Ovis aries: one gene and its partner. The protein of the gene in region 1 interacts with the protein of each later gene in a biochemical or structural test. Links are inferred from orthologs where the notes say so. Each region holds a gene or a part of one and is shown on either strand. Other genes may lie near its edges.

The links.
Region 2: the proteins of plasma kallikrein (region 1) and KNG1 form a complex in vitro, tested with the Homo sapiens proteins (4 studies listed by BioGRID). The link is inferred for Ovis aries from reciprocal best matches to the Homo sapiens genes KLKB1 and KNG1.

Annotation. Positions count from the first base shown.
Region 1 is NC_056079.1:15,460,337-15,472,345, forward strand, and holds part of plasma kallikrein, read left to right. Parts: intron 1-5,062; coding exon 5,063-5,222; intron 5,223-6,296; coding exon 6,297-6,406; intron 6,407-6,542; coding exon 6,543-6,711; intron 6,712-6,805; coding exon 6,806-6,918; intron 6,919-7,084; coding exon 7,085-7,250; intron 7,251-9,927; coding exon 9,928-10,103; intron 10,104-11,001; coding exon 11,002-11,097; intron 11,098-12,009. UniProt on the Homo sapiens protein: Participates in the surface-dependent activation of blood coagulation. Activates, in a reciprocal reaction, coagulation factor XII/F12 after binding to negatively charged surfaces.
Region 2 is NC_056054.1:201,275,051-201,287,059, reverse strand, and holds the end of KNG1 (kininogen-1), read left to right. Parts: intron 1-4,054; coding exon 4,055-4,162; intron 4,163-4,279; coding exon 4,280-4,366; intron 4,367-5,742; coding exon 5,743-6,480; 3' UTR 6,481-7,702; coding exon of another isoform or gene 7,703-7,813; 3' UTR 7,814-7,931; downstream 7,932-12,009. UniProt on the Homo sapiens protein: Kininogens are inhibitors of thiol proteases.

The DNA of each region.
Region 1 (12,009 bases):
CCCAGGGACGGGGGAGCCTGGTGAGCTGCCGTCTGTGGGGTCGCATAGAGTTGGACATGACTGAAGCGACTTAGCAGCAAGACCCATTTGGTTCAGAGGTTAAAGCGTCTGCCTGCAATGCAGGAGACCTGGGTTCGATTCCTGGGTTGGGAAGATCCCCTGGAGAAGGAAATGGCAACCCACTCCAGTATTCTTGCCTGGAGAATCCCGTGTACAGAGGAGCCTGGTGAGCTGCAGTCCCCGGGGTCGCAAAGAGTAGGACATGTCTGAGCGACTTCACTCACTCACTTAAGACCCATTTCTAGATAAGGAAATTGCAACCCACTCCAGTATCTTTGCCTGGAAAAATCCCATGGACAGAGGAGCCAGGTGAGCTACAGTCCATGGCGTTACAAATAGTTAGACACGACTAATGACTAAGCACTACACGTTATTCCCATCATAAACAACAAGGACAAAGATCCATTTCAGACTTCTCAACTTCTGATCTTCAGAACCGTGAGATAATAAATTTGTGTTGTTTTAAGCCATTAAGTTTGGGATAATTTTTTAAGCAGCCATAGGAAACTAGTACAGTGAGATTGTAGAGAAAACTGTATGGTCATTTCTTGGTGGTATCTATTATCTAGCAAAATCAATCAATGAAACCCTATGTTTCAGACATGGGGTAATTTCAATTGAAAGAGCCAGAAAATTTGCTAAGATAGTCTGTCTTATTTAGCGTATCAGCATGTCAATGATAACACGTTATTGAAACCAAATTATCAATAGCCACTTCTATACAGTATCGAGTGCTGACTCTGTGCCAAGCCCTGAATGGGGAGCTGGGCTAGGATCCTGCCTTAGAAGACTGGGAAGTTGGCAGCAGTGCCTCTCTTTTCCCATTGGTTCCCAGCCTCCCCCAACACACCTCCTCTGTGGTGTGCTCCAGATTTATTGCTTCAAGTTAAGTATTATTTTGTTTTTTGATATACAGATTTGGTTCTTTTCTGTAATTTAATTTCTGGTTATTGATATGGTCTGGTGAGACATTGTTTTCATACTTCAGTCCTTTAAGATCTTTTCTGTTTTTTTTTTTTTTTTTTAGATGTGTGGACCATTTTTAGAGTCTTTATTGAATTTGTCACAATATTGCTTCTGTTTTATGTTTTGGGGCTTTTTTTTTTTTTTTGGCCATGAGGCATGTAGGATCTTAGCTTGCCTGCTGCTGCTGTTGTTGTGTCCAACTCTGTGCGACCCCAGAGATGGCAGCCCACCAGGCTCCCCCATCCCTGGGATTCTCCAGGCAAGAACACTGGAGTGGATTGCCATTTCCTCCTCCAATGCATGAAAGTGAAAAGTGAAAGAGAAGTCACTCAGTCATGTCCGACTCTTAGCGACGCCATGGAGTGCAGCCCACCAGGCTCCTCCGTCCATGGGATTTGCCAGTCAAGAGTACTGGAGTGGGTTGCCATTGCCTTCTCCGCTTAGCTCACCTACCAGGAATCAAACCCACATCCTCTGCATTGGAAGGCGAAATCTTAACCATTGGACCAACAGGGAAGGTCCCTCTCCAGTTCTTTGGACATGGTTTCCTTTAGTTCTTTGAACATATTTAAAATAGCTGATGTAAAGTCTTGGTATAGTAAACCCAATGTTCTTGCTTCCTTAGTGGTGGTTTATATTGACCTCTACTTCTGTGTATGGGCCATATTTCCTTGTTTCTTGACATGTCTCATGATTGTTTTGTAAAAAAAAAAAAAAAAAAATTAGACTTTTTAAGTACAAGCATGTGACAAACTCTGGACATCAAATCCCTTCCTTCCTCAGAGTTTATTGTTGTTGTTACTGTTTTGTGATGCTGTTGCTGTTTGTTTGGGGACTTTCCTGAGCTAACTGCACACGGTGGTTAGTCTCTTTTGTGGCATGACCACGGATGTCTGTGCTCAGCTTCCCCTACAGTTTTCTAATGACAGGACAGACGTTTCCTTGGGTGCCTACAAGTAGTGAGTTTGCCAGCCTTGGACAAGGGGCTTTTTGTGAGACTTAGGGCATGTGTTTCACTGCCCTGCCCTGCTCTTTACAACTTTGCCCTGGCCTCCACTTTGTGCTGACATGGAGCTCCCAGAGGTCAAAGTCAGTCCTCAGTGAGGGCCCGGGGCTTTCCCAGCACGGGAAATGTGCAGAGCCTCTGTCGTGCACATAGTCAAGTGTATGGCTTTCCAGATCCCTAGGAATATCTCAGAGATTTTCAAACTCTCCTTGGTTTTCCTTCTAAGATTCTCATTGGCTTGTGGTATGCCCCTATTATTACTACTGACTTAAGCAGCTACAATGTTGTATAATAGTCACAATCTTTTTTTTTTTTTTTTTTTGACAAATACTTTCAAGGAAAAGGCTGTTGACACTGAGGAAGTTCTGAATCAGGCCAAAGAAACTCAGTCCTTGGGAGTGGGGTTTTCCTGAGAACCTCCAGTCAAATAATGACAGTTATCTGGGGACAGGGCTTGGGAGTAGCTCCAACTCTGTTCTGCCCCCTCCTGAGGCCTGTTAGCCTGCTGGTTTTCCCCACAATTGTGGGTATTTTCAAGGCTTCCATGGAGCTGTGGAGAGGGGATGAGAGGGCAAGTTAAAAACCTCACAGAACTCAGGGCTCTTGCTGAGATTTGGCTGTTGCTCTTGGATAAAAACTCCCTGGACTGTTATCAGCCTTTGGTTCACTTCTAGAGTTCTGAAACGACATTGATTTTGACATTCTGGCCAGTGCTTGTTTCTTTTTTTGTTTTGTTTTTAATGGAGGAAGGGGTTTCGGAAGGTCTTTACTCTGTCATTCCTACTGACATCTTGCAGTGCTTTTGACAAACAAAACAAATGAAAACGAAACTAGCTTTAAAAAACAGCATGGTCTTTGGAACATAGTTAGCCCCTGTTCTTTTGTCATCTTGACAGGTCAGACTGTGACTGCACTTTATATTCAGCAATGCGTTCCGTATTTTGTTTGGAGCAACAGACACGTCAAAAGAGAGTAACCAAGATCCTGAGATACCTAGAAACATAGGCAAATAAGATACCATTAAAGAAACAAATTGGACATTTAACCCTAAAAAGTCAGGATGACTGTTTTAAATTTTTGTTTTTGAAGAGCGGTCATTGGGAAAAGGATTAGACTAATCTGTGTGGTTTCATAAAATAGATACAACTATGATGAAAATAAGAAAAAAATTCTGACTTGTAGAGTGGTCCAGAAATGAAACTTGCCATGAGGTAGTCAGCTCCTTGTCATTATAAACATCTGAAATAAAGGTTGAACTACTTGACAGGATGCAGTTGTAGGTAGACATGGAATCCCATAAATTCTCTTCCAGCTTAAAGTCTGATTTTTTTAAAAAAAGATTTAATTAGTTGAGGTCTAATTTCCTAAACTTCCCATCTGAAGATATTATGTGTGACAGGCACACTCTCTTGATCCAACTATGTTCATTTAAATTTGGATTCTTTTTGTCTTTCTCATAATTGCTACCATTATTCTTTAAGCTTACATAATTTTAATAGAATTTGTTTTTGTTTTTCAGTGGATAAATCATGTCCAGTTCTTTGCAATTCCATGGACTGCAGCACACCAGGTTTCCTTGTCTTTCACTATCTCTTGGAGTTTGCTCAAATTCATGTCCATTGAGTCGATGATGCTATACAATCATCTCATTCTCTACCACCCTCTTCTCCTTTTGCTTTCAAACTTTCCTAGCATCAGAGCCTTTTCCAATGAGTCAGCTCTTTGTATCAAGTGGCCAAAGTATTGGAGTTTCAGTTTCAGCATCAGTCCTTCCAATGAATATTCAGGGTTGATTTCCTTTAATCTCCTTGCAATCAGAGGGACTCCCAAGAGTCTGCTCCAGCACCACAGTTCAAAAGCATCAATTTTTCAGCAGTCAGCCTTCTTTTTGGCCCACCTCTCACATCCGTACATGACTAATGGAAAAACCATAGCTTTGACTATACAGACCTTTGCTGGCAAACTGGTGTCTTTGCTTTTTAATAGGCTGTCTAGGTTTGGTATAACTTTCCTTGCAAATGTCCAACTCTGTGACCCCATGGACTGTAGCCTGCCAGGCTCCTCTGTCCATGTGATTTCCCAGGCAAGACTACTGGAGTGGGTTGCCATTTCCTCCTCCAGGGGATCTTCCTGACTCAGGGATCAAACCTGTGGCTCCTGCTGTGTCTCCTGCATTGCAGGCAGATTCTTTACTGCTTAACCACCTGAGAGGCCCTAATAGACTTTTAAAGTGAAAGTGATAGTTGCTCAGTCATGTCTGACTCTTTGCAGCCTCGTGGACTATACAGTCCATGGAATTCTCTAGGCCAGAATACCAGAGTGAGTAGCCTTTCCCTTCTCCAGGGGATCTTCCCAACCCAGGGTTCAAACCCAGGTCTCCCACATTGCAGGCAGATTCTTTACCAGCTGAGCCACCAAGGGAAACCCAAGAATACTGGAGTGGGTAGCCTATCCCTTCTCCAGTGGATTTTCCTGACCCAGGAAATGAAATACTTTATGCGTTATCAAATTGAGTAAATAATAAGAACATAAGTAAAAGTATAATTGAGATATAATTATGTTATGGAGAATGAAAGTAGATTTCCTCTTCTAATGGGTACACGGCATTTTTGTTAGAAATTCAGGTTTTTGTTGATGTCTTTATTTAAATATGATGTTTCTATTAACATAGTCAGGAAAACATAACACAAAAGCTCATGTGCCTAAGGCCTGAATTTCAGGGTCAGGGTAATATAAAGAAAATATAAACAAAAGCTGAGTAGCTTAGGTATTTCGGACCAAGTAGGATAGAGCACAGGTTAAGACATTTTATTTCTCTGACATAGGTGTCTGTCTTTTATCAGATTGAGACCAATTTTTTCTTCTCCCAAATGGCAAACAACAAGCTTGGGGATGTTGCAACAGACATTTTTTTCGCTAAGGATGTGTAGTTCTGTGTACAAACAACAGTCATAGTTTCCTTAGTTATGATGACGAAGTACAAGCACGTGTAGCATCGTGACATGTACGTCTTCCCCTGTGGGTTCACAGGCTGCCGCGTGGACATTTTCCAACATCGTGCGTTTTCAGATGTGGATGTTGCCAGAGTTATCGCACCAGATGCTTTCGTGTGTCGAACCATCTGCACCTATCACCCCAGCTGCCTTTTCTTCACATTCTATACAAATGCGTGGAAGACAGACTCACAGAGGTCAGTAGGCGTGGGTCACGTTTGCTACTGTTTTGGCATCATTTTCATTTTATACTTTGAGTTTTTCCCAAGTTTTGTTCATTTCCCTCAAAACACTTGAACTCATAGAATGAACTTATGGTTACCAGAGGGGAAAGTGGCGGGGGAGAGGGATAGTTTGGGACTTTGGGGTGGACATGTACACACTGCTATATTTAAAGTGGATAACCAACAAGGACCTACTGTATAGCACCGGGAACTCTGCTCAACGCTATATGGCAGCCTGGTTGGGAGGGGAGTTCGGAGAAGAAGCATATATGTATATGTATGGCTGAGTCCCTTTGTTGTCCACCTGAATCTATCACAAGATTTTTAATTAGCTATACTCCAATATAAAATAAATTTTTTTAATTAAAAACAAAACAAAACAAAACAAAAAACACTTGAACTCATAGTTTAAATAGAGGCTCTTCTGCCAGGTGCGGATTAGTTAAGAGATTAGCAGACTTTCCTACCCATCTTCTCTTACTTAAACAGACCATCCAATCAATGAAACAATAGCCATGGGTACCTTTCCTACTAATCTTAATGTTTTGTATTAGCTTGAAGTAAACCACTCACTCGGAGCATATCCTTTAAGCTCCTTTGTTCTGACCCCAGTGTTTCAGAAACTAGAGCCCTGTTTATCCTGATGAAGGTTCCGGTTCCATCTCTTGACCCATAGATAACCTGTCCTTTTCTTTACACACGAGATGGAGCTAAGAGAAGGGTATCAGGTTATGATAGCATCAGCACCATAAATCCCCAGAATCTGTTCTTTCTTCTTTTTTTTTTAAATTAGAAGGTAGAACTTTACCTTTCTCCTCTTTTCGGGCTATCTGTGCCTGTAAGTTTTCTTCAGAGGGAGATGTGGCTTGATTTACATTTAATCTCTGTAATTCACTAGAGTCCTGTAGTCTGATGTTCTTTGGAGGGAATTTCTCAGAAGAATAAAATTTGCAGGGGGCGGGGTTTGATATGAGGTGTTCTTGTATTTGCCTTTAATGGGGTTTTCTTTCTTTCTCTTGCCCTTTTTTTTTTTTTTTTTGACCATAGAAACGTTTGTTTCCTCAAGACTTCCCAAAGTGGGAGCCCGAGTTCCCCTACTCCTCAGGAAAATGCCATCTCTGGATACAGCCTTCTAACCTGCAAACAAACTCTGCCTGGTAATGCGATTTGATAAAAAAATATTACACAAAATGTGATCCATTCTATGATCTTCTAACAAGCCTCAGTGTTCCAGAAACTTGTGTATGTGTGGCTTATCATTTGCATTTTCTATCTTTTTTACATTTGTCCTAGGCACAGAGCCCTGCCACTCCAAAATTTACCCGCAAGTTGCTTTTGAAGGAGAAGAGCTGCATGCGACCTTCGTTAAAGGAGTGGATGATTGCCAAGAGACCTGTACAAAGATGATTCGCTGTCAGTTTTTTACTTATTCTTTATTCCCAGAAGACTGTAGAGGAGAGAAGTTAGTGAATGCTTATTTTTCAAAAACAGTTGGCAGATAATTTCCTGGGCTTTCACCCTCTGAGGTTTACTCTCATGCTGATCGTCTTGTCTAGGTGTAAGTGTTCCTTACGCTTGTCTTTGGATGGCTCACCAACTAACATTACTTATGGGACGCGAGCAAGCTCTGGTTATTCTTTGAGGTTGTGTAAACGTGGGGACAACCGTGGTGAGTAAATCTCACTTTTTTCATAAAACTGTAGAGGGATGTCTGAGTTGTTTAGATACCTTTTTAAATCTTCTATAATGGAACTATGTGTCTTGTTTTCCTTAACTGAAGGGGACTGTGATTCACCCTCTGATCCCAACCATTAACTTCAATGCTCTCTTTTTAGTCTGTACCACAAAAAGGGGACGCATTGTTGGAGGAACAGATGCTTCTTGGGGAGAGTGGCCCTGGCAGGTCAGCCTGCAAGTGAAGCTGAGAGCTCAGAGCCACCTGTGCGGAGGGTCAATCATTGGACGACAGTGGGTCTTAACTGCTGCCCATTGCTTCGATGGGTAAGGTTTGGCTGCATCTTATCTGGAGTTGTATCTAGCCTCTTTGTTTTGAAGACTCTATAATCAATTTCTACATCATTGTGTCAGTTTATTAATATCCATCCCTCTACAAAGTTACAATAGCTTTTGGTGGTCAAAACTTTGGAGATTTTCTGTCTCAGCAACTTTCCCAGGTAACTCAGGGATAAAGAATCCGCCTGCCTCCAGGGAAGGTTCGATCCCTGGGTTGGAAAGCCTCCTTGGAGGAGGAAATGGCAACCTGTTCCAGTATTTGTGGCTGGAAAATTCCATGGACAGAGGAGCCTGGTGGGCTCCATGGGGTCGCAGAGTTGGACATGACTGAGCGCCCATGCACGCCACTGTTAACTGTAGTCACCATGCTGTATGTTATATCCCCAGAACTTATTTATCCTATAACTTTGCTCTACATAGTAATTTTAGACTTATTTTGCATATATCCATATTCAAAGAGTTAATTTAAATTTTCACACATTCCCAAAATATACATATAATTTAAATAGTGCTGAGGTTCCTCTCATTTCCCCTATTAGAGGCATTACGTAAAAACTGGGTTTTCCTCTTGGTTGGATGTCAAAAGACACAACCAAGCCAAAAACTGGGAGAAGGAAGGATTTATTATTGCAGTGAGTAAGGAGAACACTGGGGATCTTTCCCAAAGAAATTGTATCCCCAAACAACAGAACTGGAGAAGTTTTAAGCTAAGGGTACACGCATATTATTGAAGGGCCTTGGCCTGAGTTCAGGCCTTGGTTGATTGAAGTCATGAGGGTCAAAAAAAGTCAACATCACCATATCTTAGGTTCCAGTTGATCCAGTGGTTGAGTGCTTCTGGCTAATCTTTGCCATTGAAAGATACCTAGGAGTCTTTACAGCTGATCCATAATCTTTGCTATTGTTACTTCTCTAACGTGTAATAGTCCTTTGTCTCTGCATTCTTTTATTCCCTTTAAGATCATTAATTACTGAGACGTATTCAAGGACAGGACTTTCCTGTGGTTTAGCCATAAAGAATCTGCCTGCAATGCAAAAGACGTAGGTTTGATCCCTGGTTGGGGAGAATCCCCTGGAGGAGGTCATGGCAACCCACTCCAGTATTCTTGCCAGGAAAACACTATGGACTGGCGGGCTATAGTCCATGGGGTTGCAAAAAGTCCAACACGATTGAAGCGACTGAGTACATTCAAGGACTAGCATTGTGGCCAGGCTTAGATCACAAAATGGCTTAAGCTAAAAATGGTTTCTTTTATATCAAGAAAACCATGACTGGATCTCTTTCTCTGGGGACCCACTATCCTATCTGGTTACAGAGAGACTTGTATACAGTCATTCTTTCTTGCCAGTTCTGAATTTCATGGAAGTGATTGCTTTCAACTTGGTGAATGATTTTCCATGATAGACTGTGAGATATCTCCCAAACAGTTTATCTCAGAAAGAGACAGCAACATTCTTCTATATTCACTTACAGAAAACATGACATAATTATACACTTCCCAATATTTTTAACTAAATCTTCAGAGTTCAGCACTGCTGCTGTTGGTGCTAAATTGCAAGGAGAAATTAGGTATGTAAACATATGAACTGGACATGGAACAACAGACTGGTTCCAAATAGAAAAAGGAGTACGTCAAGGCTGTATATTGTCACCCTGCTTATTTAACTTATATGCAGAGTATATCATGAGAAACAATGGGCTGGAGGAAGCACAAGCTGGAATCAAGATTGCCAGGAGAAATATCAATAACCTCAGATATGCAGATGATACCACCCTTACGGCAGAAAGTGAAGAAGAACTAAAAAGCTTCTTGATGAAAGTGAAAGAAGAGAGTGAAAAAGTTGGCTTAAAGCTCAACATCCAGAAAATGAAGATTGTGGCATCTGGTCCCATCACTTCATGGGAAATAGATGGGGAAACAGTGGAAACAGTGTCAGACTTTATTTTGGGGGGCTCCAAAATCACTGCAGATGGTGACTGCAGTCATGAAATTAAAAGACGCTTACTCCTTGGAAGAAAAGTTATGACTAACATAGACAGCATTTTGAAAAGCAGAGACATTACTCTGCCAACAAAGGTCCGTCTAGTCAAGGCTATGGTTTTCCAGTGGTCATGTATGGATGAGAGGGTTGGACTGTGAAGACGGCTGAGTGCTGAAGAATTGATGTTTTTGAACTGTGGTGTTGGAGAAGACTCTTGAGAGTCCCTTGGACTGCAAGGAGATCCAACCAATCCATTCTAGAGGAGATCAGCCTTGGGTGTTCTTTGGAAGGAATGATGCTGAAGCTGAAACTCCAGTACTTTGGCCACCTCATGAGAAGAGTTGACTCATTGGAAAAGACTCTGATGCTGGGAGGGATTGGTGGCAGGAGGAGAAGGGGACGACAGAGGATGAGATGGCTGGATGGCATCACCAACCCGATGGATGTGAGTTTGAGTAAACTCCGGGAGATGGTGATGGACAGGGAGGTCTGGCGTGCTCCTATTCATGGAGTTGCAAATGGTTGGACATGACTGAGCGACTGAACTGACTGAACTGAAACATATGTTATATGTAGTATTTTCTTCCCAGTTCTTTTTTGAAAGGTAAAGAGAAAGGAGAAAAGAGCAATATGAAAGGCCAGTCTTTCTGGTTTCAAATCAGTTCTTATTTTTCCCTCCTAGGCTTCTCTTGTCAAATATTTGGCGCATTTATGGTGGCATTTTAAATCTGTCAGAGATAACAACAGAGACATCTTTCTCACAAATCAAAGAGATTATTGTCCACCCAAATTATAAAACCTCAGAAGGCAGTCATGACATTGCCTTAATAAAACTTGAGGCTCCTTTGAATTTTACTGGTACGTAGCATATTTAAGGAGACATGTATTGCTGAATTGTGTTGGTTTAAATTTTCAGATCAGTTTCAAGGAGGGGTCGGAATCTAAGGAGACTGTCTTTATTTTCTGGTTAGTAAAGTTGCGGGAAAGATGAGTATTGCCAGGAAAAATAATTTGAAACTTGACATAAAATGTCTTCTACTTAAGGGCCAAGATGTGTTACTTAGTTCTTTCAGGAAGGAATACAGCTGCATATTATACTATTGAAATAATAACAGACATGGAAGGGAGCATGACTTCCTTTGACAAGAGTAGCAGAATTAGCATTGCCTTGGGCCTAGGCATATTGGGAGTATCTGAGGGGCAAGCATATTCAAATATTAATTTCCAGGTAAAACCTGAGTAGGGAAGAGACTGTTGGACAAGGCAATTCTGGGAGACAATAGCTTTGTGGTTGGACGGGGTGCGTTTGGACATATAAAAAGCTCCGCAGTTGCTGGATGCCTGCTGGGTCTGCTAAAGATTCTGTGATCTCAGGGCAGGATGTCCTTGACTCCAGTTACCCCCTAATAGGATTGTTATTAAAATCAGTTAATAAGTTAAAGTGCCTAAAAATCATGCTTAAAACAGTGTAGACCCCTCTGCTATTACTATTGAGGGAATCATACATAAGAACTTGTAAAGGCTCTTGACAGTAAATTTGGGTTCGGAATTTTAAAATTTAACACCCAAAATGACTGTGATTGCTGAGATATTTTCTTGAGTCCCTGACCTTGGAAACTCAGTGGAAAGTAAAAGGTGTATTCTACTTGGTGCTACTCTAGAGAAAGAGAATATAGGGGCGGGGAGAGTATGTATTTTTAAAGTCAATGTTCATAACTAAATCTAGCCAAACTCTAATGTAAAAATTACCTTTCAGATTTGCAAAAAGCAATATGCCTCCCTTCCAAAGATGATACAAAACCAGTTTACACTGACTGTTGGATAACTGGATGGGGCTTCACAGAGGAAAAAGGTACCACGTGGCATTTTATATGTTAAAACACAGGAGTGGATTTGTTTCATTGGCCTCTAAAGTTATATCCAGACTCGTGATTTTTTCCATAACTATTCATTCCCACATATGTATTCAGTAATTCTTGAGAAGACAGTTTTGCTTGGTCCTGGAAAAATTCCTAGGGTAATCTCTTAAGAGTCTTTGTTTGACTTCTTCTAAAGGATTGGTCCCATGCAGGACAAACAACTTCCCCAAGCCCATCCTGTCCTCAGAATTAATAGAGTTCCCATCTCCCAAGGCCACTGTTATCCCTTGGATTAATAACCAGGAGTATAGGCAGACATGTCATCTCTCTTTCTGGAAGGCTTTTAAATATTTTTTTAAAACACATCCTTCCTGCAACCTGGTAAAGCCTGTGAACCTCTTCTCTAATGCTTTTATACCCATAAATAAAACACATAGGATTACAAAGAAAACCAATGACACTGCAACTTATCAGAATACTTTGAAAATGACAGTGTTAATAGCTCAGTCCTGTCAGACTCTTTGAGAACCCTTGGACTGTAGCCTGCCAGGCTCCTCTCTGTCCATGGGATTCTCCAGGCAAGAGTACTAGAGTTGATTGCCATGTTCTCCTCTGGGGGATCTTCCTGACCCAGGGATCACACCTGGGTCTCCTGCACTGCAGGTGGACTTTTTACCATCTGAGCCACCAGGGAAGCCCTTATTTCTTAACAATCAATGTAAATCAACTTTATTATAAACTGTATAGTTCATTCCTGCCAAATTGAGAACTATAGATTTTTAAAAACCTTTTTAAATTGCAGTATAGTTGATTTACAATGTTGTGTGACTCGCTGTTGCATAGCAACATGAATCAGTTATACATATATCCACTCTTAGATTCTTTGCCCATACAGCTCATTGCAG
Region 2 (12,009 bases), on another chromosome or scaffold:
AATGTGGCTGTACTAGTTTGCATTCCCACCAACAGTATAAAAGGGTTCACTTTTCTCCACACCCTCTTCAGCATTTATTGCTTGTAGACTTTTGGATTGCAGCCATTCTGACTGGCATGAAATGGTACTTCATTGTGGTTTTGATTTGCATTTCTCTGGTAATGAGTGATGTTGAGCATCTTTTCATGTGTTTGTTAGCCATCTGTATGTCTTCTTTGGAGAAATGTCTATTTAGTTCTTTGGCCCATTTTTTGATTGGGTCTTTTATTTTTCTGGAATTGAGCTGTAAGTGTTGCTTATATATTTTTGAGATTAGTTGTTTGTCAGTTGCTTCATTTGCTATTATTTTCTCCCACTCAGAAGGCTGTCTTTTCACCTTGCTTATAGTTTCCTTTGTTGTGCAGAAGGTTTTAAGTTTAATTACATCCCATTTGTTTATTTTTGCTTTTATTTCCAGTATCCTGGGAGGTCGGTCATAGAGGATCCTGCTGTGATGTATGTCAGAGAGTGTTTTGCCTATGTTCTCCACTAGGGGTTTTATAGTTTCTGGCCTTACGTTTAGATCTTTAATCCATTTTGAGTTTATTTTTGTGTATGGTGTTAGAAAGTGTTCTAGTTTCATTCTTTTACAAGTGGTTGACCAGTTTTCCCAGCACCACTTGTTAAAGAGATTGTCTTTACTCCATTGTATATTCTTGCCTCCTTTGTCAAAGATAAGGTGTCCATAGGTGTGTGGACTTATCTCTGGGCTTTCTATTTTGTTCCATTGATCTATATTTCTGTCTTTGTGCCAGTACCATACTGTCTTGATGACTGTGGCTTTGTAGTAGAGCCTGAAGTCAGGCAGGTTGATTCCTCCAGTTCCATTCTTCTTTCTCAAGATTGCTTTGGCTATTCGAGGTTTTTTGTATTTCCATACAAATTGTGAAATTATTTGTTCTAGCTCTGTGAAAAATACCATTGGTAGCTTGATAAGGATTGCATTGAATCTATACATTGCTTTGGGTAGTATATTCATTTTCACTATATTGATTCTTCTGATCCATGAACATGGTATATTTCTCCATCTATTAGTGTCCTCTTTGATTTCTTTCACCAGTGTTTTATAGTTTTCTATATATAGGTCTTTAGTTTCTTTAGGTAGATATATTCCTAAGTACTTTATTCTTTTCATTGCAATAGTGAATGGAATTGTTTCCTTAATTTCTCTATTTTCTCATTATAGTAATTATCTTATTAACTTCTCCAAAAGAGCTGGTTATGTCTTTGGTTCATTTCCTTAGTGTTGGGCTTTCTGTGTATAAGAATACTGACCCTACATCATATTTTTTCCAGTTTACCTTTTTACCTTATTCACTGTGACATTTGAGAGTCAGTTTTCATTTTTGTCTAGTTAGATTTTGACATTTTCCCCCTTCCTTTAGGTTCTTTCCTCTGCTTTTCATCTATGAAAGGCCTCATCATCCTAAGAACTGATGAATGTTTTTTATACCTTTCTAGCTTATTTAGTTTAAATGTTTTAGGCATTGGAATTTACATTACTAAGTAGTATTCTATACTTTAAAAACAAAACTTGGACAGGATAGACTTAAGCAGGGAAGACTTCTGATAAGAACAGCAATATAGATGCAATTTTGAGGTTCTTGAACACAAGATATTACTGCTGCTGCTAAGTCAGTTCAGTCATGTCCGACTCTGTGCGACTCCATAGACAGGAGCCACAAGGCTCCCCCGTCCCTGGGATCCTCCAGGAAAGAACACTGGAGTGGGTTGCCATGACCAGGTCTACTTTATTCCTCCCCTCTAGACCTTGAATAGAATTGAGCCAACAGCTGTGAGTTTTGTCATATATTGTCAACTTTCCTAGGCAACATCATATTAATCAACTGTGGCTCAGAGGTAAAGAGTCCACCTGCAGTGCAGGAGACTGGGGTTCAATCCCTGGGTCAGGAAGATCCCCTGGAGAAGGAAATGGTAACCCACCAATATTCTTGCCTGGGAAATCCCATGGACAGAGGAGTCTGGTGGGCTACAATCCATGGGGTTTCAATAGAGCTGGACACAACTGAGTGACTAAATAACAACAACAATGTCAGAAAACTGGATTAAAGTATACTCTCAAACTAAGCAACGAAATTCATGATCACCAATGGATATACTCTAAAACACTTTTTGGACTTCCCTGGCCAGCTTATACACGTCTGGAGTTTTACAAGTTATCAAATTTGTCTTATAAATTTTACTGTGCTTACCTAGAAAACGATGCCAGAAAAGGTAGAGGAGTAGTTTAGCTCTTCCTGTTCTCTGCTCTCCTCATCCTCCCCCCATTGTAATTCCTCCATGCTTTTCAAAAAACACAAAGAAAAAGGGAAGACTTATGTTATGGAATTATACTATCACTCCATAACTTAATTTTTTCAATAATGGTCAACCTTCCAGGAAACAGGTATGTATAATATATTCTTTTTGATAACTGTATAATATTATGCATATACACATTTAAATCCTAGAATGAAATGCTGAATAACTTAGCCTGAAAATTGAACCACGTTAACTACCTTTTAAATTTATATATATAATTTTAAAACATTTTATAAAGTATATTTTTCAAGTATATAAAGGCTGTAAGCTTTTTTAAAAAAAACTGTGCTTGCAATTTTGTTGAAGTCAGTGTATTGGCAAAAACCACACAATGACTTTTACTTTTTAAGTAAATACAGTACACGTATTCTAGACCAAAAAGAAAAAAATTAGGCCACAAATATTAACAGAAGGCAGTATTTATAATGATTAAAACTTGCTAGAGCTTAAAATAGTTTCTTAATATTAAAAAAAAAACCCTCAGAGAAGCAAGCTAGAAATCCAAAGAACTTTGCTAATCACATAATTTAATCCACATAATTTCTATAGCAGTTCAGTTCAGGTCAGTTCAGTCGCTTAGTCGTGTCTGACTCTTTGCGACCCCATGAATTGCAGCACGCCAGGACTCCCTGTCCATCACCAACTCCTGGAGTTCACTCAAACTCACATCCATCGAGTCGGTGATGCCATCCAGCCATCTCATCCTCTGTTGTCCCCTTCTCCTCCTGCCCCCAATCCCTCCCAGCATCAGAGTCTTTTCCAATGAGCCAACTCTTCGCATGAGGTGGCCAAAGTATTGGAGTTTCAGCTTTAGCATCATTCCTTCCAAAGAACACCCAGAACTGATCTCCTTTAGAATGGACTGGTTGGATCTCCTTGCAGTCCAAGGGACTCTCAAGTGTCTTCTCCAACACCACAGTTCAAAAGCATCAATTCTTCAGCACTCAGCTTTTTTCACAGTCCAACTCTCACATCCATACATGACTACTGGGAAAACCATAGCCTTGACTAGACGGACCTTTGTTGTCAAAGTAATGTCTCTGCTTTTGAATATGCTATCTAGGTTGGTCATAACTTTCCTTCCAAGGAGTAAGCGTCTTTAAATTTCATGGCTGCAATCACCATCTGCAGTGATTTTGGAGCCCCCCAAAATAAAGTCTGACACTGTTTCCACTGTTTCCCCATCTATTTGCCATGAAGTGATGGGACCAGATGCCATGATTTTAGTTTTCTGAATGTTGAGCTTTAAGCCAGCTTTTTCACTCTCCTCTTTCACTTTCATCAAGAGGCTTTTCTCTGATTCAAGCTTTGGTAGAACAAAAAGGTGTGTTTAAAGGAAATATTTAAGTTTTCTTCTTACTTGTCCTAGATTCTACATATTATGACTTGAGCCTTTGAATTTCTGGTGAATCTTGCAGTTGCTGAACAATAAAACTCAGGAAAATAGAAAAATTAAAATTATAGCATTGTTTTCTTTTCCCATTTAAAAAAGGAAATAAGCCCAATTGCCAAATATTTTAATGTGCATACAAGGTTTTGTTATCAAATATTTGTGCATTTTGAGGGTAACTCTCCTTCGTTCAGTACATAATTAAAATATCAAGATTCTCCCCTAAAAGCCCTTATGATAAAAATGTATGATTTATTACACAGCATTAATTAAGCTCCTATTTTGTGCTAATTCACTTTCCAGGTGGTAGCTGGAAAAAAGTATTCTATTGTGTTCATAGCAAGGGAAACCACATGTTCTAAGGGAAGTAATGAAGAGCTGACCAAGAGTTGTGAGATCAATAAACATGGTGTGAGTATAATGCAGCTGTCTTACTGATTCCCTGGAAATCTGTATGATGTTTTATGCTTATATATGTATCCCATGAATAACACTGTTTTCTCTTTTGCCTTCAATTTTCATGGATAGCTAATTCTAAACTGTGATGCTGATGTTTATGTGGTGCCTTGGGAGGAAAAAGTTTACCCTACTGTCAACTGTCAATCACCTGGACGGGTATGATTCTAATTGCAGTTGGTTTGGGTTAGCTATGCTCATTCTGAAAATCATATTTGGAGGTTGAAAATGAACCCCTATTTACATGAGTTGGAGAGGACTATCTTTTTTAAATGGGGAGAACACACATTTCTGTGCTGATCTCTCTTCTTATGGCTAGAAAGGGAGAGCAGCTGTCCCCTTAATCACTTCTCCGACAAGGCCAGTGTCCCGTGAGATCACAGGTTCTCTTAAGGAAGCACATCCAAGGAGCTTGGGAAAAATATAGGTCGCACACCCCACTCTACATTTCCTGAATCAAAAGCTATATTTTAACACAGTCCCCAGGAAAGTGATACCCATATGCAAGTTTGAGAAGCATTAGGTCGCATCATTTTTTTACTTCTTAGAAGAACCCTGGGAGGTAAGTAGTACTTTCCCTACTTTCAAGATTGAGACACTAAAAATTACAAAGATGCTAAAGTCCTAAAGTGGATAATAACTTCATCAAGTGCTTCCTCCATCTTAGACCCTGTACTGAGGACTTGACATTGAGACATATTTTTCTCCTGACAACCCTACGAGGCAGGTGATTTTATCATTCCTATTTTACATACAAGGAAAATGAAGCTAGTGGTGCTCAGATACAAATCTAGGTAAAATCAGAGCCTACTCTGTTCACCATCATACTGAGAACTACTAGGCGCTGGCTTGTTTGACCTCAAAGACCATGCTCTTTGAATCACCAAACACTGCCTCCAGCCACCACATTCTCACAGGTAGTAAGTGTGTAGGTAGAAATGACCCACAAATCCATAGCTTCAATACAAGTTGCCTCTGCTCCCTTTGTTCTGCATTTAGGTTTTTGCCATATGTAGGTATGTATATAGTTTAATACAAACATTATACAAAGGCTGTGTTTCAAGCTTGTGAACATATATATCCTGTGTTTCAATTCAACGGAGTGACTGTGGATATACGCTGCTTATATATTCCATTCTTAAAACCAGTTAAGATCTTTTTGGATAAAAAGCAGTAATGTGCTAATAGAAATAGTATCAATTAATAAATAATGCGCCATGACTTATAGAATCATAGGCTTAGAGAGTACCCTAAAGATTATGTAGTTAACCATCCAGTTTTTCCTGATTAAAAACTCTATTTTAGAGTATTATTAGGAACAAGAATCAATATCTCTAAATTATTAAGTCAATCAAAAGAGGAAAAAATTATTCATTTTCATCCTTTATGGAATATTAATGTATATAGCACTTAAAATCTGGCAAAGACATTCCCCATCGTAAACTGAGATAACATTGTCAGGCCCCCATCCCTTCTTTCTTCTTTGATAGTGTGGTTTTCACAGTAATGCATTCATTTTAATATTTCCTGTTTAGACCTTACTCATGAAAAGGCCTCCGGGTTTTTCACCTTTCCGATCAGTACAAGTGATGAAACCTGAAGAAAAAACAACTGTAAGTCTACCCCACTCTACCATGTCACCTGTACAAGATGAAGAGCAGGATTCAGGAAAAGAACAAGGACCCACTCATGGGCATGGCTGGGACCATGAAAAGCAAATAAAATTACATGGCCTTGGCCCTGGCCATAAACATGAGCATGAGCAAGGTCATGGGCGCCATAGGGGTCATGGTCTTGGCCATGGACATAAGCATGGTCTTGGCCATGGACATAAGCATGGTCATGGCCACGGAAAACATAAAAACAAAGGAAAAAACCATGGAAAGCAGTATGATTGGAGGACACACTATTTGGCAAGTTCTTATGAAGATAGCACTACATCCTCTGCACAGATGCGAGAGAAGACAGAGGAGACAACACTCCCTTCCCCAGCCCAGCCAGGTGTAGCCGTGACCTTTCCTGGCTTTCAGGACTCAGATCTCATTGCAACTGTGATGCCTAATACACTACCACCTCCCACAGAGAGTGATGATGACTGGATCCCTGACATCCAGATAGAGCCAAATAGCCTTGCATTTAAATTGATTTCGGATTTTCCAGAAACAACCTCCCCCAAATGTCCTGGTCGCCCCTGGAAGCCAGTTAATGGAGTGAATCCAACTGTGGAAATGGAAGAGTCTCATGATTTTGATCTCATTGATGCTCTTTCTTAATTTAGGCAGCCAGGGTTATTTCTTTAACATCTCATCAACCCCTGTCCCCATTGTCCAAAGATCCTCATATAATACACTAAAACCCATGAACATTCAGAACAGCCTAGAGAGAAATAAATGGTGAGACTCCCCATGGGAACAACATCAATCTCTATGGATGACATAAAACTTTGTGCAGAATTCTAACTCCTTTCTGAGCTCTCCTCCCAAGTTTTCTTACCTAGCACAGAAAATGGACAAACTAATATACTGTGGCCTACTGCAGTTGCTTTTCTGATAATGAATGTGTACCTTAAAATGTACATCATCAATTTTCATACAAAGATTCTTGACATTTGAATAAACTGTAACATCTGGTCCATATGTGGCAATAAGAGAAGTTAAGAGACTGAATGCTGAACTTCTTAATGGAGGGAAAAAAATAATAAAAACCTCCAGAGGTCAAAGAGGAACAAGAGAGAAAGACAGATTGGCCAAAGGGAGGACAGAGAAAATAAATTGACTTTCTGTTTCCAAAATGGGCTAGTAATCTCAGTTACTCCCATGTGACAAAACTATGCTGATAATTCTCTTTCTGGGTGAGAGTGTTTCTTGTAAGTCAGTAATTTCTGTTTACTCATTAACTATGCTTTGCAATAGGGCTTTCAAATAGGAGTTTTCTGTTTGTATGTTGCCAGCTTTAGAGTGAGTAACCCTTACTGTTCAATAGCTCTGAGTTTAATGATAAGGATGGAAGGCAGAAGTAATACAAAGGCTGGCCTGCTTGAGGAAATCTTTTTTTAATAATTGATAAGGGAATATCATGAGATGTGATGCAAATTTTGTTCAGAGATTTTGTGAGAAATTCTTTCTAGCCTTTATACTTGCATTTTCTTTTGCTATAACATTGAAGTATATGGACTTTTGCAGGAAAGAATAATATGATTATCTTTAATTTACTGATAATGTGAGGGAGGCATGTCTTTCACAACCCCTGCTGTGCTTTTGCCTAGGGAAATAGGGCTTTGGATACCTACACTCACCTGCGGATGCACGTCACTGTTTCTTCAATTTATTGGATGCATTTGAGCCACTGAGTTTTTATTTCATTCCAAATATTATCTGTACTTGCAAATAAAGTACCAGTGATCTCAGGAAAAGGTCTCATCTTGTCAATTAGTGGCTTCACCTTCCTCCCTTTGAACGATAACCTCAGATTAACAGAGTTTTACTATACTTACAGAGGCACGTAAGGTCCTGCGAGTACAAGGGCCGACCTCAAGAGGCAGGGGCAGAGCCAGCACCTCAGGGTGAGGTCAATTTACCGGCAGAATCTCCACGGTTGGCACAATAGACCCGACAACCTCTGTCAGCAGCCCTGCGTGGAAGGACAAGAAGATGGGGTAGAATTTAAATAGAGAAGAATGTCATTTTATCCCTCTGTGACTGAGTGAAATAAAGTTCCATCCTTATGTTCCCCTCCTGGTTAATTCACGCTGGTCTCCTTTCAGTCACAACCAACCTGCAGCCAAGTCAAGATGATCAGAGAGCCAGCACTAGGGCTTTGCCCTAGGGGCTCACAGTGCAGCCCTGGAGCATTCTTGTTCACTGAGGCAGGATCCCTTAGCTGGGGCTTCCCTATCACAGAGACCTTGTCATGGGTGCTCAATCAAGGGGTAGTGGGTCATGTTTCCACCATGGATCTAAGGACTCTCTCCCTTTCTTTCTTCCTTCTCCTCCTGATTCCCAACCCAATGCTGAGAGATTTTGTCTTATATTAGTTTTTTATGATCTAAATTATTACCAAAAAAGAAAAAAGTCTTTTGTTAATATATCTACCAACTTCTCATTATCAAAAAATACTGAGTCTCAAAAAAGTTGAAAGAAAATGTAAAATTATCTTTCTGATCTGGGTAAAAGAAAAGAAATAGAAAACCATTAGAATAAAAGATAAGAGATTTAGGATTTTCTGTAACAAACACGTATTGAAGCCTCCTTTCGTGGTGTAACTTAATCCTCACCACCACTCTGAGGTCTCCGTGATCACCTTTCCTCTACAATGAGGAAGCTGTAGCTCATAGAGCCCTTCCCAGAGTCACAGAGTTAATATGTGACAGAGCTGGTATTCAAACTCAGACCTTTGAACTTTATCACACTGTGTTATCACGGGGCTTTACAGTATTATCAATATTGTCATTACGAAAAACACATCAAGATAATTTCTGACTCTGGGATGATTATGATTTCACTCCAAAACCCTTATGAAATATTTCATTATATCTGGTGCTATTCTGAGTCTTGCTCATGATAAACTAGAATAGAGCCAAGCACAGGCATTAGCTATTTACCATAGTCAGTCCTGAGAAAAAGAAATATTTTTATTGTATCTTAAATGTTGAGTTTTTATTTAAGACATTTCCCTCCATTGTACTGTCCAGACTGAAGAGGCAGTCAACAAAAAGAAACTTGTGCAATCTTTTTAAAGAATTACAGAGTAAGATGAAGATGCCATCAAGATGGCAGAAGTGGGTGTGTCTTTTTTGTCAGTCTTAGTTTAAATACTTGGCAGCTCATCACATGTTTGAGGTGTCCTGAGTGCTCGGAGCATGTGTGTGGTGATTGGTGCTTCTACTCATCTTTAGTCGAGTTGGGTTCACATATTCAGCCTATATGCTTCCCTGATAGCTCAGTTGGTAAAGAATCCGCCTGTAATGCAGGAGACCCCAGTTCGATTCCTGGGTCAGGAAGAGCTGCTGGAGAAGGAATAGGCTACCCACTCCAGTATTCTTTTACTTCCCTTGTGGCTCAGCCAGTAAAGCATCCGTCTGCACTGCGGGAGACCTGGGTTCGATCCCTGGGTTGGGAAGATCCCCTGGAGTAGGGAAAGGCTACCCATTCTAGTATTCTGGCCTGGAAAATTCCATGAAGAAGTCCATAGTGTCGCAAAGAGTTGGATGTGACTGAGTGACTTTCGCTTCACTTCACTTCACTTCATGTTCAGCCTATGGGAGCCTCAAAGCAAAAAGAAGAGAAATACATTTCAAAAGACATGAATGCTTTCCCTTGAAGAGCTTACAATCCCTTTGGGAAACCAAGACAAAGCATAGGGAACAGATATTTAATCCAAGCAGCATCTTTGGGGAGCAGTGAACTTGACTAATGTGATGGGAAGATGTTGAAGAGGTGGAAGGACCAAAGTGGAGAGAGAAAATGAAGCCCAAGTGAGATGGTTCTTAAAAAAAAGTTTTATTGAAATATAGTTGACCTAACATGTTGCATTACTTTCAACTGTACAGCAAATGATTGACATGTGTATATACGAGTGCAAAGTCTCTCCAGTCATGCCTGACTCTTTGCGACCCTATGATTGTAGCCCACCGGTTTCCTTTGTCCGTGGAATTCTCCAGGCAAGAATACTGGAGTGGGTTACCATGCCCTCCTCCAGGGGATCTTCCCAACTCAGGGACTGAACCTGTATTTCTTACATCTGCATTGGCAGGCAGGTTCTTTACCACTAGCACCAGCTGGGAAGCCCATATGTGTGTATACCTACGTGTATATATACAGATAGATAGGTAGATGTATTCTTTTTAAGATTCTTTTCCATTATAGATTATTAAGAGATATTGAGTATAGTTCCCTGTGCTACCAAGTGGGAGTTTAGATTTGTCAGGCGAGTATATGCCCCTCGGTTCTTTCTCATCACAATAAAGATTTGGAGCGACGGACATTAAAGCCCTCAGCACGTCACAGCTCTCAGGTCTTAGACAGACCGTGTTATAGCTCTTAGACAAATCAGTGTTACAGCTCTATTTTATTTAGAAAATAGCAAGAGAATCCATCCTCAAGGCTGAGGGCATGCCGACTCAAAGACACAAAGAGGAGAGAGTGGGAGAGCGCGCCAGCCTGCGGTGGGGGTGGAGGTGGGGAGGGGGAGAGAGAGAGAGGGAGAGGGAGAAAGCCTGTGCTTTGGCTCCTCTTTTTATTTGTTTTTTCCTCCCCCTGGGCCTGCCCTATGTAAATAGGGCTAGCAGGAGTGCTGTTTGTTCTACCTGAGGTCCTCACTCAGGTCCTCGGACCTTCCTTTGACCTTCCTTTGTTCTATTTTCACGGGCTTTTCCCTTCCTTGTCTTTTAGCCACCGCCATTTTGGACTCGGTTTCCTAGTCTAACTAGGATTGAAATAATCCATGTGGGACCTGTCATATAAATGGGGAGGTAGCATTAGATAGCTTAGTTTTACGGACTAAGCCTGTAGAAAACTTATGAGAACCTGCAATGACGTGACTCCTTTTATCAAAAAGAACATGAAGAGATCATTCTCTGAAAATAACCTTAACTTCTACTACTGATCTAGAAACCCGAAACTAGCAACAGACCTTTGTTATAACAGCTCTCCTGCCTTTTATCTTAACTACATGACGTTTGGAGATGGTACTCTATTGTGTCTGGAAATAACACTATTCTATCACGGCAGTTTAAAAATGGATGAAACACTAGCTCCTGGAGAGAACATTAATACAAGTTTTTTAGTGGAGTAATATTTGCCAGCTGAGTGACTTAGTACTGCGTCAACTGGGCTAAATAGGAATTATTAAAAGAAAAAAAAAACCCTTTGCTATGTGGCTCTAGGCTAGAGTTGTTCAGAGGAGAAATTCATTTGTAATTGAGAAAATGAAATGAAGCAGTGCTGCGACTCCCAAAAGTTGTGGGGTAAGACGCAGAGATGCTGCTCACTCCTGCTGGTCTCATCTTCCCTGCTTTGAATGTGACACCGCCCCCCCACCCCCACCCCGGGCAATACCAGCCATGTGGACCTCTAGCCACACGAGTCCCACCAGGACCACAACCTTCCACAGATGTCTTCACCAATTCTCCCTCACTGTCCCTCTGGCAGCCGAATATGTTTGTCCAGATTTCCCTAAAAGTTCTGGTTTCTAAAAGCACCAATGCCTCTGTATAGAACAAGGAACTCTGCTTAATATTCTGTAATAATCAAAGTTGGAAAAGAAGTTTTAAAATAGGTATATATATATGTATAACTGAATCACTTTGCTATACACCTGAAATTAACACAAAGTTGTTACTCAACTATGCTCCAATATAAGATAGGTCTTTTTTTTTTAAGTACCAGTGCCTGAGGAGGGCTGATTTGTAACCTTTCAACTCCTTTTCCCTGGATCTTACTTCCCTAGCCCCTCCCACCATGGTGTAAAGTCTGATTTCTAAGGTTAATTCTTTGTACTGTAATCTTCACAGTGGTTCTGCTTTCCTGATCAAACCTTGACTCATACACCAGGCTTTTCCCTCCTATCTTTTTTCACTAGGGGAACACAACCCACGGCACGGCTTTGGAACACAGAGCCAGGCCCAAGAATACAACTGGCTTTAAGCATCTCCTAGGAATAAATAAAGTTTGTTCCTGCCCTAAGAAGATCAATTTAGTGGTGGACATAGACATACAAACGTGTATATATAGTTACCATATGTAAAATAGATGACCAGTGCAAGTTCGATGCATGAAGCAGGGCACTCAAAGCTGGTTCTCTGG